2 linked regions of the Drosophila melanogaster genome follow. The protein of the gene in region 2 interacts with the protein of the main gene of each other region in a pairwise test. Each region holds a gene or a part of one and is shown on either strand. Other genes may lie near its edges.

Evidence for each region.
Region 1: the proteins of NTPase (region 2) and Abcd3 interact in a two-hybrid assay, tested with the Drosophila melanogaster proteins (one large-scale study listed by BioGRID).

Annotation. Positions count from the first base shown.
Region 1 is NC_004354.4:19,746,982-19,755,062, forward strand, and holds the start of Abcd3 (ATP binding cassette subfamily D member 3), read left to right. Parts: upstream 1-3,788; 5' UTR 3,789-4,156; exon of another isoform or gene 4,157-4,366; 5' UTR 4,367-4,452; coding exon 4,453-4,565; intron 4,566-7,889; exon of another isoform or gene 7,890-8,081. Other genes in the region: parvin, read left to right, coding at 1-101, 269-889; Alr (augmenter of liver regeneration), read left to right, coding at 1,932-2,327, 2,407-2,648, 2,708-2,870.
Region 2 is NT_033779.5:2,880,204-2,887,031, forward strand, and holds NTPase (NTPase), read right to left. Parts: upstream 5,012-6,828; 5' UTR 4,820-5,011; coding exon 4,790-4,819; intron 2,924-4,789; exon of another isoform or gene 2,738-2,923; coding exon of another isoform or gene 2,717-2,737; exon of another isoform or gene 2,631-2,716; coding exon 1,179-2,630; intron 1,118-1,178; coding exon 1,025-1,117; 3' UTR 501-1,024; downstream 1-500. Other genes in the region: RabGGTb (Rab geranylgeranyltransferase subunit beta), read left to right, coding at 1-268.

The sequences.
Region 1 (8,081 bases), on a different chromosome or scaffold from region 2:
GGGAGAAGCTCACCGGCAAGAAGCTGGACGTTCCTGAGGTCACCCAGTCAGAGCAGGGCCAGCACGAGAAGCTCAACATCGTCCTGAAGGCCGTCAACCATGTAAGTAGTAGTAGTTTATGTTTTGCAGGATTTAAAAATCGGAGTTACCAACATTTAATTATTTATCCATTCTTAAAGTCGAATAGAATAATTTTTATTCGATTTACAATTAACATTCCCTTTTCTCGCGATATAAGAATAAATTTTATCCTTGCCCACACCCACAGACACTCGGCTTTCACCAAAAGATTCCCAAGTGGTCGGTGGCCAGCGTGCACTCGAAGAACATTGTGGCCATATTACATCTGCTGGTGGCACTGGTGCGTCACTTCCGGGCGCCCGTTCGCCTGCCAGAGAACGTGTTCGTGACCGTCGTGATTGCGGAGAAGAATGCGGGCGTGCTGAACGCGCAGAAGTTCCAGGAGCAGATAACGTCCGAGTACGACGACCTGGGCATGCGCTGCGAAAAGGACGCCTTCGACACGCTGATCGACTGTGCGCCGGACAAGCTGGCCGTGGTGAAGAAGTCCTTGATCACGTTCGTGAACAAGCACCTGGCCAAGCTGAACTTTGAGATCAGCGATCTGAACACGGACTTTCGCGACGGCGTATACCTGTGCCTGCTGATGGGCCTGCTCGGTGGATTCTTTGTGCCGCTGCACGAGTTCCATTTGACGCCGCAGGACGTGGATCAGATGGTCAGCAACGTGGCCTTCGCCTTCGACCTGATGCAGGACGTGGGCCTGCCCAAACCAAAGGCGCGGCCGGAGGACATCGTGAACATGGACCTCAAGTCCACCCTGCGCGTCCTATACAGCCTGTTCACCATGTTCAGGGACTTCGCCTGAGTGAAACCCGGATGGAACGAGCCAGCGGGTTGCAGGAGCAACAAGCGGCGCCAATTTTACATTTTATATTAACTTTTTGATAGTGTTTACACGCCTAATTTATGTGCGTTCTCGAAACTGATTGTAGGCGATGCAGCGGTTAAAGCTTACTGATCCTAACTCTCAAAACCACAACTAAATGCTGCGTCGCGTATAATCAGCCCAAGGAATGTTTATATATATATATATATATTTATGTGTCGTACGTCTAACCACTGCGATCTGCTCCAGATTCAGATTGCTCGGAACAGGAAGGAGCAGAGCAGAGCAGAGCTAACCCAAACCCAAAATCCGGCGGCCAGTTGTTAACTTGTCTTACTCACGTGCCAGACGTTGTAGTTGTTACTAAGTGAATTTATTGTATTAATACATTATTTGAACACAATAACCGAGATTGTGCCTTTAGATCACACAGAGCTTTTGCAAATTATGTCACAGATCAGATTTTAACGCTGTAAATGTAGAAGTTTACGGAAAAGTCTTAAAAAAAAATTTTATTGTGTACGTTAAAAATTTGGATCAGAAAAATCAATAAATATTGCCAATAGCATATGTGTTATTCTATTTTAAACAGTTCCAAGGCGCAAAATTTATCTGGGGCTGCAGCACTCACAAACGCCAGCTTCCATCCTATTCACATGTAAGTTCTTTCGAGCGTCTCGAATTGATTGAGAAACAAACCTTAGTAATTTTCTGAACGCTGTGCTATTTGAATTGTCGCGGTTGCGCGCGCAACTCGCAACGGTCTGGTATCGATCACAGCTGCGAGCAGGCTGCCAGATCGCTTCCCGTTCGGGAACGATTTCGCATCGATTTTCGATTGCTGGCCGGTATAATTTGAAAATGTTACTTTGCTGACCGGATTTTGGTCCTTGGCCAGATGTTGGCCATGAATCTAAAAGCCAGTATTTAGTAACTTGCGTTGATTGCAGCCGCTTAACTAAGCCGCTTAGCCAGATATGTCCTAATGTTATGTGTTTCGTTTCGAAACAAGGTGGCAACCATGCGCATGCTTTTTATGATTTTCACAATAGCCGAGCGAAGTTTCAAGATTCTAGAACTACCCACCACACCAACGCTTCTGCTGCGCCGCCAGTCCCACAACTACGGCTACGACTACATCAGCCCCACGCACATCGAACTCAGCCGGGAAGCAACTCGCCTGGTAATTCGCCGTCTGCAGCGCACCGTTCTCCGCCTGATCCGTGACCCGGACTTCATCATGTCTGCCGAGGCGAATCCCGAGATGGATAAGGAGCACCACGAGTCCCCATTCGCAGCGAACCGCAAGGCCGGTGCCAGCGGCGCCGGCAAACAGGACTCGAACTGCCGCACCTGCAACGATTTCAAGTCGTGGTCCAAGCAGCAACGCCTCATCTCCAACGTGCAGAGCGCCAAGGTGACGTGATCGCGTTGGCCACTTCGCCTTCGCAAGCAGGACGATAACACAAGAATCTCCCACTTTCATACTCCTCCAGGTGAAGCACATGGCCGCCGCCGAAAAGCTGACCGTCAACGCCGCCGAAGATCCGCTGCCCCGCGACGACTGCCCGCTGGACAAGGTGAGGCTGGGAATTTCCACCTGGGGACTGCTCCACACCATGGCCGCCTTTTACTCGGACAACCCCACGGACACCGAGAAGCGCGACATGAAGACCTTTTTTGAGGTTCTGTCGCGCCTTTACCCCTGCGAGTTTTGCGCCAAGGACTTTCGCACCGAGTAAGTGCATCTTCAATCCATTTGAAAACGCTGACACTTTAGCTGGACCTCTGTTGCAGCCTGGACGTCAACCCCATCAATGTGAACTCCCAAAAGGAGCTAGCACTGTGGCTGTGCAAGTTCCACAACCGAGTGAACGACAAACTGGGCAAACCGCTCTTCGATTGCACCAAGGTGAACGAGAGGTGGCGCGACGGCTGGCTAGACGGCTCCTGCGACTAGGCGCCGCAGCTAACCAGCGCCGAGAAGCCCCGTCTCCCGCCCGTTGCAGGTTGCCATGTTGACCAGACTTTGTCCCACATTTTGCTCGGCTGGCCCACAACTACAACCACGGAACACGGGACTCCTGCTCGGCGGTGTACCGCCGCCAACCCGAAACTGTGCCCTGTTTCTGGCCAGAGGCCATGCCCACCAGTCGGAACCTGCGTCAGCGTGACATTAAATTGAGTTATGTTGTAATAGAGCGACACATCGAAGGTCCATTGTTAAATGATTTGCTGGCTATGAACTCCATTAGAATATACACATTATGTTGAGGACCCGTATTATGCCTTCTCACTGGCCCTGCAGATATCGCAATCTCTAATCTGCCGACTGGCGTTTATTAGATTAGAATGGGGAAGGCAAATGCTTTCCACTTCGATAAGATGGGAGTGGAAAGATCTAAAGCGGAGTTGGAATACAATGCTTAGTTGGTTCGAAATTAGGGGATTTGGCTGATACTTATATAGTTTTTAGATTTCCTTTCTATAATACCTAAAGGACTAAAGGTCTTAAAATTTGTCTGCTCTGGTTATATTTTTTAATATTTAACTTAATTTTTTTTTGCAATCAACGAAACATTAACATTTTATTCATTTAACATTTTAATATGCTTAACATAAGAGATATAAAAATTAGTGGAATTTTCGTAAGAGTAAGCCATTATATGATTTACTTATATAACATGATTGCTCAGCAATAGTTTAGGTAGTTTAAGCGGGGAAATTTAAATTTGGCTAATTTAAAATATTTAATACCTCAAATTTAGATGAACGATATTTTCGATTCATAATTATCGGTGATAACTTGTTCGATAGCTCTTCGTTCAGAAATAGCCAGATTTGGCGGCGAAATAGCTGCCCCCGCAGCGCCGCTGCCCGCACATTGTCGTGGTAGCCAACACTAGCGCACATCGCACTACAGTTAGTTGCCTGCTGGCTTTTGCGCGTCGCACGTATCACTTCGTCAGATTTCTCGATTTGGTCGAGCTGAGTAGAGTGTAATTACCAAACAAAGAAATGCGCCTGGCTCAAATTGAATAAATAAAAGCGCCCGCCGTGTGTGACAATCACTTTGCCCACCCCCTTTGGCCAGAAAAGGAGCGCCACTAGCAGCGGAGGAAGAAGCAGCAGCACCATCACCACCACCAGTTGTAGTACAGGAAGAAGAAGAAGCAGTTGCCCTGAAAGAGAGAGAGGGTGCGAGCGAGAGAGGACGAAGCTAAGACAGGGCTGTTCGACAACCAGGTGTTTACATCCTGCTATCCACCATCTGTGTGTGTGTGCATGTCTGTGTGTTGTGTCGTCATCAAACAGCCGATTAAAATATTGAAATCCGTGCAATAAACAATAGTGTCTGTTCCCCTTTCATACTTACTATTTATTATAATTTTTTTTTTTTAATTTTTTCCTTGTGCAAACCCCCTCCCCCCACGTGCGGTTAATCGAACACTGAAGTGCGAACGCGAAATTGCGAATTGTAAAATTCACAAGGTGCCCAATTTGAAGCCAAACGAGATCCGTAGCCACATCGCAATAGCAGAATGGCCCCGGCTCTAAGCAAATTGGCCAACAACCAGAGCGCCATCGTCGGCGTGGCGGGCATGACGGCGGCCCTCTGGATAATTGCCTACGGAAAGATGTCCAACAAGAAGCGGTAAGCCCCCCCTTGATCTTAATTACGGATAATTGTGGCTCAACCATGTTATTTATGTTGCCTGTGCAATATGCAATATTCTACGAACATCTTATTGCACAAGGTCTCGGTCTTGGCCATCGATGTGTCCGTGATATTGACTTGAGTTTTGGATCGCTGTGTATTTATGTACAAACAGATTTGTTTGCGGGACATACGATGCGATGCCACTATTGTGGGTCATCTGGCGGACTGCAAAAACTGGTTTTCCGATGGCCGTTTCTGCCACACTGTATGCACTTCCCCCTCATTGTAGTCCGGTTTCAATTGATTCGTCCAGCAGCCGCGCACAGTGGGCCGGACAGTTCGTTTGCAGCTCCAAATACTGTTCTTTTCAATTGTGTTACCCATTGCCATAATCTTATAATAAGTTTGGCGACCACCAGCTTACGTTTTGAAGATTCTCAAAAAGATATTTTTAAGTGCAGTCCCAATACAAAAAAAAAGTCAACAGATCATCGATTCATTTAAGTAGATGTGAACCAAAGTAGCTGGATCTGTTTGCAGTCTATCCCTATTATGTAGATATACTGATATCTAGGATAGGTCTGAATGTATATATTGTCTGGGAGGAATGGAGGAATTCCGCGTACTTAGCAGAAGGTAGACTCAGATAGGCACTACATTTCCGGCCAAACAGCAAACTCGATTAGGAAAGCCTTCTCGGCGCCCTCGACTATTATGACCCGAATAGCCACTTCTTGGCGGCCTGCTTCATTGCGGTATCGCTTCAAGGATTTCCCCATCGAGCACCTGCGATGCGGACTTGATTCCCCGGTTAAGGGCCACGTTTCGGTGTTTGAATGGACTTGGTCTTTGCCGCTAATCTAATCGGCAACGCGCCAGTCTACAGCACTTCATCTATATGCCCCATTCCACTATCGCCACTCGTGCCGATTATGCTGTTGTTAACGCGCTCAATATTTGGTCATATTCGATGTGTGCGGGGTTCGGCGCGCAATTGACCGCTATCAGTCGATTTCATCTTATTGAATAAACTGAACGGGTAAAGCGGGCGCAATCGACTATTTGCATGACAGAGCCAATTAATTAGACAGATTGCGGCGGACAAGTGGAGTGGGTGGGTGATTGCATTGCCAGCCAGCCAGCCAGCCAGCCATCCGCATGGGATTGTGGGGGATCTGCCGTGGCTGCATGTGCCACTCGTTAATTGCTAACATTACTCCGAGTACTCGGAGTATGCCGAGCACTCCGATGTTGGATACCCAACCGGTGGCCATCACTTTCAGCAACTTCTCTGAAGTGCACTGCACTTTGGCAGGCGATCGAAATCGAGCATTTTAATGCGCTGTTTACTTTTTTATGCAACTTTTGCGAGCGAGGTAGCCGCCACTTGTGGATGGCCGCTAAATTTATGCACCATTCCATTGTTCGAATTTTGCACAGTGGATGGTGCAGTCGGTTCAATGGATGCAGTGACTGGACACTCCACAGTCCAACCAACCAAATGGGCTTCGCAAGTGGAGCTCCACTTCGATTATGCTTTCATATGAATCAGTGGTTGAATTTTGTGGTTCATTTCATATAATTTCATTTAATTTCATTCATTCTATGATTCACTTTCAAGTCCAAGAGCTAATCGCTGAATGATTAAGAACGTTGAAAGTTTAAAAGGGACTTTTCGAATGTGTCAACGAGTTTCCGAGTAGCAACGCCTCTTGCACAACTTTCAAGGCGCTTTTTTATCGGTGTTTTTTTTATAGCCTCATATCAAGGACAGGCCCTAGAATTGTTAACTGATATGGTACGGTTATGCTAGCTCGTAGCACCGCCAATAATGTCTTTGCAATCTATCAAGGGTTTGGACAATTGGACAACACACCCAAGCTCATTAGTCCAAAGGTCCAAACACTTTGACTTGACATCCAGCAGCCTGCCTTGCAATCGAACACGCAACCACCGGTGGGCAGTTTGCTTTTGGTGTTGCAACAACACTCGATTGTACCCCTTACCCGGACCCAAGTCCGTACCCATACCCACACACACACACACCCATTCCATGGATGACATGATGACACCCGGGTATAAAGCATAAACATTACAGCCGTGCCTTTTAATGACTTGCGTCGTGCCATCCACAACATTGGATGGAGAGAAGCGCAGAGGACCAGTGGCTTCTGGTTTCATTTTTCCATTTCCATTTCCATTCGCATTCCCGTTCCCATTCCCAGCTCTTTGCCTTCGAGATGGGTAATGGGTAATGGGGTATAGGTGTTAATTTGTGTACAACTTGCTCTGTTTTTCGCAGGTAGACACATTCTGTATCGCCCGGCCCGTCCCGCCGGCTGTTGCGCAATAGCTTGTGTGGCTGTGCGCGCTCCAGACTTTCGGATGGGGAAGTGGAAGAGTCGGATGGATGGAGAGACCTTGTGCCCGGGAAACGCTTGGCCCTCGATAATCGGATTGCCCCGCAAGGCAGCCATTTATCGTGTAATTTGTATAATTCTCGCCTTTACTCGGACGGTGCGTGAAATGAGATCGTAATTTCAATGCAGATTCGCAGCCGAGCTCTGACATTTGCACCTGTTGCGGATGCCACGTTGCCAAGGCCTGTATGTCTGTCTGTCTGCCTGCCTGCCTACCGCTCACTCACTTACTCACTCACTCACTCACTCACTTACTCGCTCGCTCACTTGCTCACTCGCTCTCACTTCTGAGACATCGCAAGCGGAGTGGAGTGAGCGTGTGAGTGCCGGCAGACTGACTACGGGTCTTGAGGTCTACAGGTAACAGCCAAGGCAACAGGTGATGAGTATGCCCGAGCTGTGTCGAGCTATCTGATTTTGGCCAGCGTTTATCAGACAAACTAGCTCGATAGCGGCTGCTATGCGGCACAAGAACCACTGAACTTTGATTGCAATCCGCGGCAATGTCTCTATCTGAGTCAGACGCCAACCGATCTTCTCGCGCCCGGGTTCAATGTGCCCCCCATTAGGCGATCGCCGGCGATTAGCGAAAGAGAGCTTTGGATGAATCGCAGGGGCAGGCGATTTCGGAATGGGAATGGGAATGGGAATGGGTATGGGTATGGCAATGGGAGCCACCGGTGTTGACCTATGGACCCAAACACATGTTCCACGTCTAGGCGGTGAAAACAAGTTTAATATACTACGAATCAAAAAAGGAAAACCACACGAGAGACAGCCAGACACACAGACGGATTGAAAGATAGATAGATGGAAACATATATATATATATATATATATATATATATAGAAATAAATACAAGAGCGCTATGAATAATTCAGTGATCTGCGCAGCGATATTTAAGAAATAACCAAGTCATCACGACTCGTCGCTTTTTCCAGCCTGCAGATAACCAAGGCGCGAGCTTTGTACTTTGTTTGGCCTAACATACCAGTAGCACCAGCACCAGCACCAGCACCAGCACCAGCAACACCAGCACCTCACATCTCATCACCCACATTATCCCATAGACTTCGAACCCTGGGCAGG
Region 2 (6,828 bases):
GCTCGCCTCGCTCACCATCATGGGCCGCCTGCACTGGATCAGCTCGGAGAAGCTGCAGCAGTTCATACTGTCGTGCCAGGACACGGAGACCGGTGGCTTCTCGGACAGAACTGGCAACATGCCGGACATATTCCACACGCTGTTCGGCATCGGCGGACTCTCGCTACTGGGACATTCCGGCCTGAAGGCCATCAACCCAACGCTCTGCATGCCGCAGTACATCATCGACCGGCTGGGCATCAAGCCGCAACTATTGCCGAGGCCATGAGGGGATTCATCGATTCCACATGCAGCCAGTGCGTAGCCAATGTGTAGTGCAGCAGACCTCTGACGTATTCCCACGCTAGCGTTTCTTAGTTTTATTTGTAAAAAGACCAAAATTCCATAGCAGGAACACCCTTTCTTTACTCATTTTCTTCGTTATGCATTTACCCCTCTATTATTATTAAATATAGAATATTTTGTATAGCGAACGAAAATCAGCAATAAACAAATATTTTACTTTAATTCAGATCAGTTAACATTTGATTTATTTGCAAAGATAACTAAACTAACATTTGCATGTGTGAAAAACCGTGTGAAATGTTTGCGGCTAGTAGTCTAGGTCGTTATACATATTAGGTAAATACATATCATTGTGTAAATTTATGTACATGAGGATACGATACGAGTGTAGGGACTAATTAGTTAAGAAGTTGGCAAAAAACTGCATTACAAATATGGCGAATCACACAAAATTGGAATTACAAACTAAACGCTAAGTGTAGTCACCGTGTATGGGTTAGCTCAATTAGAGGCAATTGAAACGAATCTTGCAGAGCACAAACAAATATTAATCGACCACATCATACATATGCTGTGGACAATGTCCGAGTGTGTGTTCTGTGTGTGTGTGGTGTGTGCGGTGTGTGCGGTGTGTTGTGATTGTAGTATACTCGATGCACGTCTAAGGCACTCTATAAACAATTTCAGCTAACAATCCGTTTAAAATTTATGTCTTCAACTACGGACTAATGGAGGAGCATTAGGAATTACTGAATTTCTCGTCGCTAGTCAGAACGTTGTATGCACAGCCGAGGGCCCAGGAGATTTCGTGGCCATCTATCTTCTTGTAAAGCTGCACAATTTAAAACGAGTTACTAGAGAGTTCAATTTGTGTTAAGTGCGCCAGGACTCACCTTAATCTTCTTGCCATCGTTGAGGCCAAATCCTTCGCGCAGCAGCGTCGAGATGAAGGTAAGGTCGAAGCACATGAAGGGCTGCTCATCGTTGGGAATGGCACAGATCTCCTGGGCCTTCTTGCGATAAGCTTCCACCGTGGTCTCGCCGCCAGCCAGTGGATCCACCAGACCCGACTCGATGGCCCGCTCAAAGTAGTAGCTGAACGCGGCCACCGCGTGCTGCTTGAGTGTGAACGGCTTGGGCTTGACCAGCGGCATTACCTTGCTCTTGACCAGCTCCAGGCAGGCATCGAAGTCCACAATGGGCTGCTCGGCACTGGACTTGCCATTCTCCTTGCCGCTGACCTTGTACTGCACATTGCCGTATGTCCACGTGCGATTGGCGATTATGGGATTCACGCAGACGCTCTCCAGCACCGTATCCTCCTTCTTGTAGCCGTGCGTGAAGACAGCATGGCGTGCAGCCATTAGACCCAGTCCCAGATAGCTGTGCGTGAAGACGTTGATCTTCTTGCTGGACGTGACCACCTCGTGCATGTACTTATCGTACACGGGCACCTGGTCCGGATCCGTTGGCGAGAAGGTTACCTGCGTGCTACCGCCGCCCAAGTCCAAGGCAGCTGCCTGGTTCGTCTTGGACAGGCGGCCCAGCAGGAAGTTCACGGTAAACCAGCTGAAGATGCCCTCGTCCGTGCCGTCCATGATCTCCACGGCATCCATATCCACACTAAACTCGGACTTGGCGAAGAGATCTCGGACGGCATTTAGAATGTTTTCCGCCTTGCTGGCGGGCAGGAGTCTCAGGCCGGCGGTCGCTTTCAGAACCAGCGGTGTGGAAGACCAGTGCTCCTTGGGTATGAAGGCGCGGGCCTCGTCCAGCAGCAGTTTGATGGAGTGGGCACCCTCGGCGGGATTATCCGCGAAGGAGCTCAGACCCGGCTTGCGCTCCTTGAACAGCTCCTCGTACAGCACCAGTTTGTTGTCGATGAAGCTGCGATTGAACTTGTAGGCCAGCACACGGCTGCCCGTCGATCCGGCATCGATGATGGCCGCATACTGCACCTTGCTGTAGCCAAACTTGGAGGCCAAACGGGCCAGATACGGACTGGCGTTCTCGGAGACGAAGCCTGCATCGTTGTCAGTCGTTGGTTTATTGGCGATGGGTTTTTTAGTGATAACACGGCGAACGGGTGGCGCAAAATGGGGTTCCACGTGGGCGTAGGGCACGGTAACAGTGGGAAAATCAGAGGTTTTCGTTAGTACAACTTTGGGCACTTCGTCTTTTACATAATACAAATGGTACACACCAAAGACAAAGAGCAGGAGGATGACGGAGATGATCAGGCACAGGAAGGAGATCTTGAGGCCGCTGGGCCCGCGGTTTCCACCACTGCTGGCATTTGGTGATCCGCTACTTTTCCGCCGCGGTGGCTTCTCATCCGTGGCCAGCTGAAAAGGCGAAAGACAAATTAGTTTTGTGACCGACTACTCAGTTATTTGATGGTGTTTTTCTTGGCCAAGTTCATCGGGTCTACCAGCTTATATTCGTATTTCATGGTTCGTTCCGTTGCCTCTGCTGGCTCCACATTTATGCATGGCCGGTTTCTTGGTCGGAACACATTTCAGTTGTTTGCTGCTCAAATATTAACACGCTGGCTGTTTGCTATCTCTGCGAATGTCAATGAATTTCATTTCTTCTCTTGTTTTCGGTCTATTTTACGGGCTTTATCGTTAACATGTGCCAGGGCTGCAGAGTCCGTGGCTCATCGATAACGTTAACCAGGGTTGGGCCACACTTTTGGCAACGGTAATTTAGGGCAGTTGGTAAACAGAAAACCGTTACTTCAAACAAAATAACCTTTTAAAGCGCATTACTTGGATATTTCCACGATTAGTATATATTATTGTTCTACCTAACTTTTCGCTAGTTTATATTAGTTCTTATAAGAACAAACGATAAACACTAAAAATAGTAAAAAATGCGTTTCTATGGCTTTAGCTATGGCTATTATTAATTTTCTTAAAATATAAAGTCATGCCAAATTACACATTTTCGCTGAGGAAGTCAGCGAAGCCAGTGGCCATTCGACTAGAATCTTATCGCGTAGCTTTCTGGGCGATATGACAGTGATAAGACGCAATCAGTTTTCGGGGGCGATTGGCGCGTCTGGGCACCACTGGCAACAATCATAAGTGGGGCAGGCCACGAAGCGATCTTTTAGCTTGATCAAATATTAAAGTTCCCAAACAAACCTGATGAAATTCCCATTGTTTAAACAAATGTTACGCTGTTGGTAAGCGACTGACGCAAAAAAAAAATAGTTAAAGCCAATGAAAAGTAGTCAAACAAAGCACAAATAGCGAGTATATATAATTAAGCAGTAATGGAGTTGACAGGTAGATGGTATATATATCTATATCTATACAATCAAGTACACCCATTAGTTTCGAATACACATACTACTTCCCAATAATTACACTGTTGGCATAAGTGAAACTCATTAAACATTCAGGGTGTGAACTTAACGCATATGTTTCCAGGCGCACGCTACTGCAATCAATAAATCTACTGATAAAAGGCGCCTTTTGTGCCGATCTAGTGACTAAGAAGCCTGCTCCCCATTTATAAAGGGGAATACTTTAATCGGTTCTATAGATAACTCATTTATTTCGAAGCCGAACACTATTTTGCATCAGCTGAAAAGTAAATCTTAAGTCTTAAAGAACCCTAATTGATAAATGTATCTTGAAATATATAAATATGACGCACAAAATGAGTTGAAAGATACAAACATTGAAAGCTGGTAGAAGTGTGCTATCTAGAAAATGCTGATAAGTTTAGACACAGATGTTGTGAAAACAACAAATATCGAGTTAGATACAAAAGTATCTAGTATATATTGTAGTACCGAGTACACGTAGGTACACGAGGGTTAAGGCCACGTTAGCAGCCAGGCACTATCTGCACTCACTTGCAACCGGTTCCGGTTTGCCCGCATCCTGTTCTCCACCCACTTGCGATGCAAATCAGTCGAAACTATGCGATCCAATCGCCCCCGAAATGGGACACTCTATGTGTACCTGTGATCTTTGGGTTCCGATGCGAGAAAGCGATTGCAAAAGTTGTCTAGCGAGATTCGGTCGAAACGGCTGCCAACTGAATCGTTGGACTTTTCTATGCTTTTTTTTTATCAGCCCCCCCTAATGACCTTGCAAATGAGAAAGTTCCTGCTGACTGGTCACCCTAATGCGAATACGAAAATATTTCAAAATAAACCGGCCGGCATTAAGATGTTGATAGAAAACCCACTAGTCATCTCTTTCGTAACTAAAATCAAAATTTGCATAATTGTTAACAAAAGCGTGCTTAGCGGCCATTGCGTATCTATATTTAAATGTCTTGTAAACATACATTTTCAGATACAAATTGGCACAATCGAATAGAATAGAACTTGAAACGATTATTCTGCGAGTCATTTGATGTTTTACTTCCGCGTCAAAAGAGCAGCAATTTGAGGAATTCGCATGTGTGCGTGTGTGTGTGAGAGAGCGCCATGAAATTGGCATTAAATTTGTGCTGTGGATTGCCCTTTTGACCTTTTCCTTACTTTTCTCTTTCGCACATCGGTGTTCGTCATTCTGTCGTCGTTACTTTTCACTTAAATTATGTAAATACGCGAGCGTTTGTTTATTTCGGATCGATTGCTGCCGATCGCCGAGCGGAACGCACTAATGTCGATCTAATCTAATGATGGCCGCGCCCGCCGAATGATAAACTCTGATCAGGAAGCCAACGCGCACGGAATGGCGTCTTGGAATCAACTAAAAACATTTATTTACCACCTGCTCATTTATATGCTGCAGCCCTATCAGCTGTTCGCTGCGGCGCCCACTATCAGCGCATACGGCCACACTGCGGGGGCGGCAGGGATGCCAAAAATTGATGTGGATAACATAGAAATATTTAAAATTGTGAAATTATTCGATTTTGATAAGTATACTTCTTAACGGAATTCTGATAACAGGTGCAGAAATCCAGTGCATAGTACTATAATTGACATATATTAGAGGATTCGTTGTGCCTTAATCCGCTATTTAAATCAATAAGGATTTATCATAGATTCATTCGTAGATTCTTATCATTATTTTGTACCGACAAATAAGATAATTGGATTCAATAGATATTCATTCAAGCTAAGTGTAGATTAGATTATATAGGTATATCATATTTCCCATTAAGATACTTGCCCATTCCAAAATTGGGTTTTCTGGATTAGACATTGAGATAAGAAACCAGTGTTGAAAACCAACACTGAAAACTGCTTATGAATTTTCAAAAACGCTCGGATAAACACATTGCTAGATAAAACTCAGATCGTTAGACAAACCGGTTCCAAAAATCATTCATTAAGTAAGAGAAAATCGAAATTTTTAGCAAATATGCGGTACCGACATTTTCCAGAACTGGACCTATCGTCGCACAGCTGATCGCCCGCCAATCAGCTGGGCGATAGTTGCCGTATCGATAGCCGACCCATCGATAACGATATGTGTATTTTCCTGCTCTCTCTGCACCAACACAAAACACGCAACTAAATTTCGGTTAAAAACCCCTACTAAAAACAATGCAATCGAAACGGAACCATATAAAGTGATTAAATGGCCAACGCGGCGGAGGCGAAATGCGAGCGCAGTGCATTTTCCGGATGAAATCGCGTTTTCGGGGAAACTTACACAAACATTTTTTTCGTAAGCGCTCTCATGTTGTCTCTTTCGCACAGCAGAATTACTAGTTGCTGTGTGTGTGCGTGCGTGCGTTTGTGTGTGCCGTATGCCGTGTGCCAGTGTGTGCGTGCGTGTGAGTGTGAGTGTGAGTGACTTTGACTGCAGTTCGCGTACGTTTTTTATTAATACACCACATAACAACAATCACAACAACAACAAACAGTAATGGAAACTAAACATATTTAATGCGAGGAGACCAGAAATCGTCTAAAACGGCAAGGCTTTATCACCATCGCCACCACCACCAACAGCACAGCAACAACAACAAATTACTACAGCATATATGCTAGTGTGCGTAAACGTATTTGTGTTAAATAATGTTTAAACTGGCATTTCTGATTTCGCACACAAAACAATATTAAGTTGTAGTCACCAGCAGAGAGGAGCAATTGAAGCAAACGAAAAAGAGGTAAGTGCAAAAAGCAGACAATTGTTATAAACAAAATGTGTCAAAAGTTCGTCATGTCGTCGCGCGCTCTCTCTCTCTTTTTTGCTCGTTCTCCCTCTCTCTCTCCGCTCTGTCCTTCTCTCTCCCGCCACGCCGAAAAGAAATTAATTTTGATATTTTTTCCCTGCTTTTTTGTTGCACTCTCTCGCTCTCGCAAACTTTTAATTTTAATTTGCTATGCGCAGCGAATTCGCGCGCAAAGGCAACAAAAAAAGAGGCAATGCAAAGGCAGCAGCAACAACAATACAGGCAAAGTAATAAACGTCAAAATGCCAGACGGACAATTCCTCTCTCATGCGCTCTTTCCGTCGCTGTGTGCGTGCGTGTGTGTGTGTGTGTTTGGGTTTGCTAGCTTTTTGTTTTTATCAATTATTTAGGTAGGTGTTTGCCTTAAAAAGAATAACTGAAACGCAG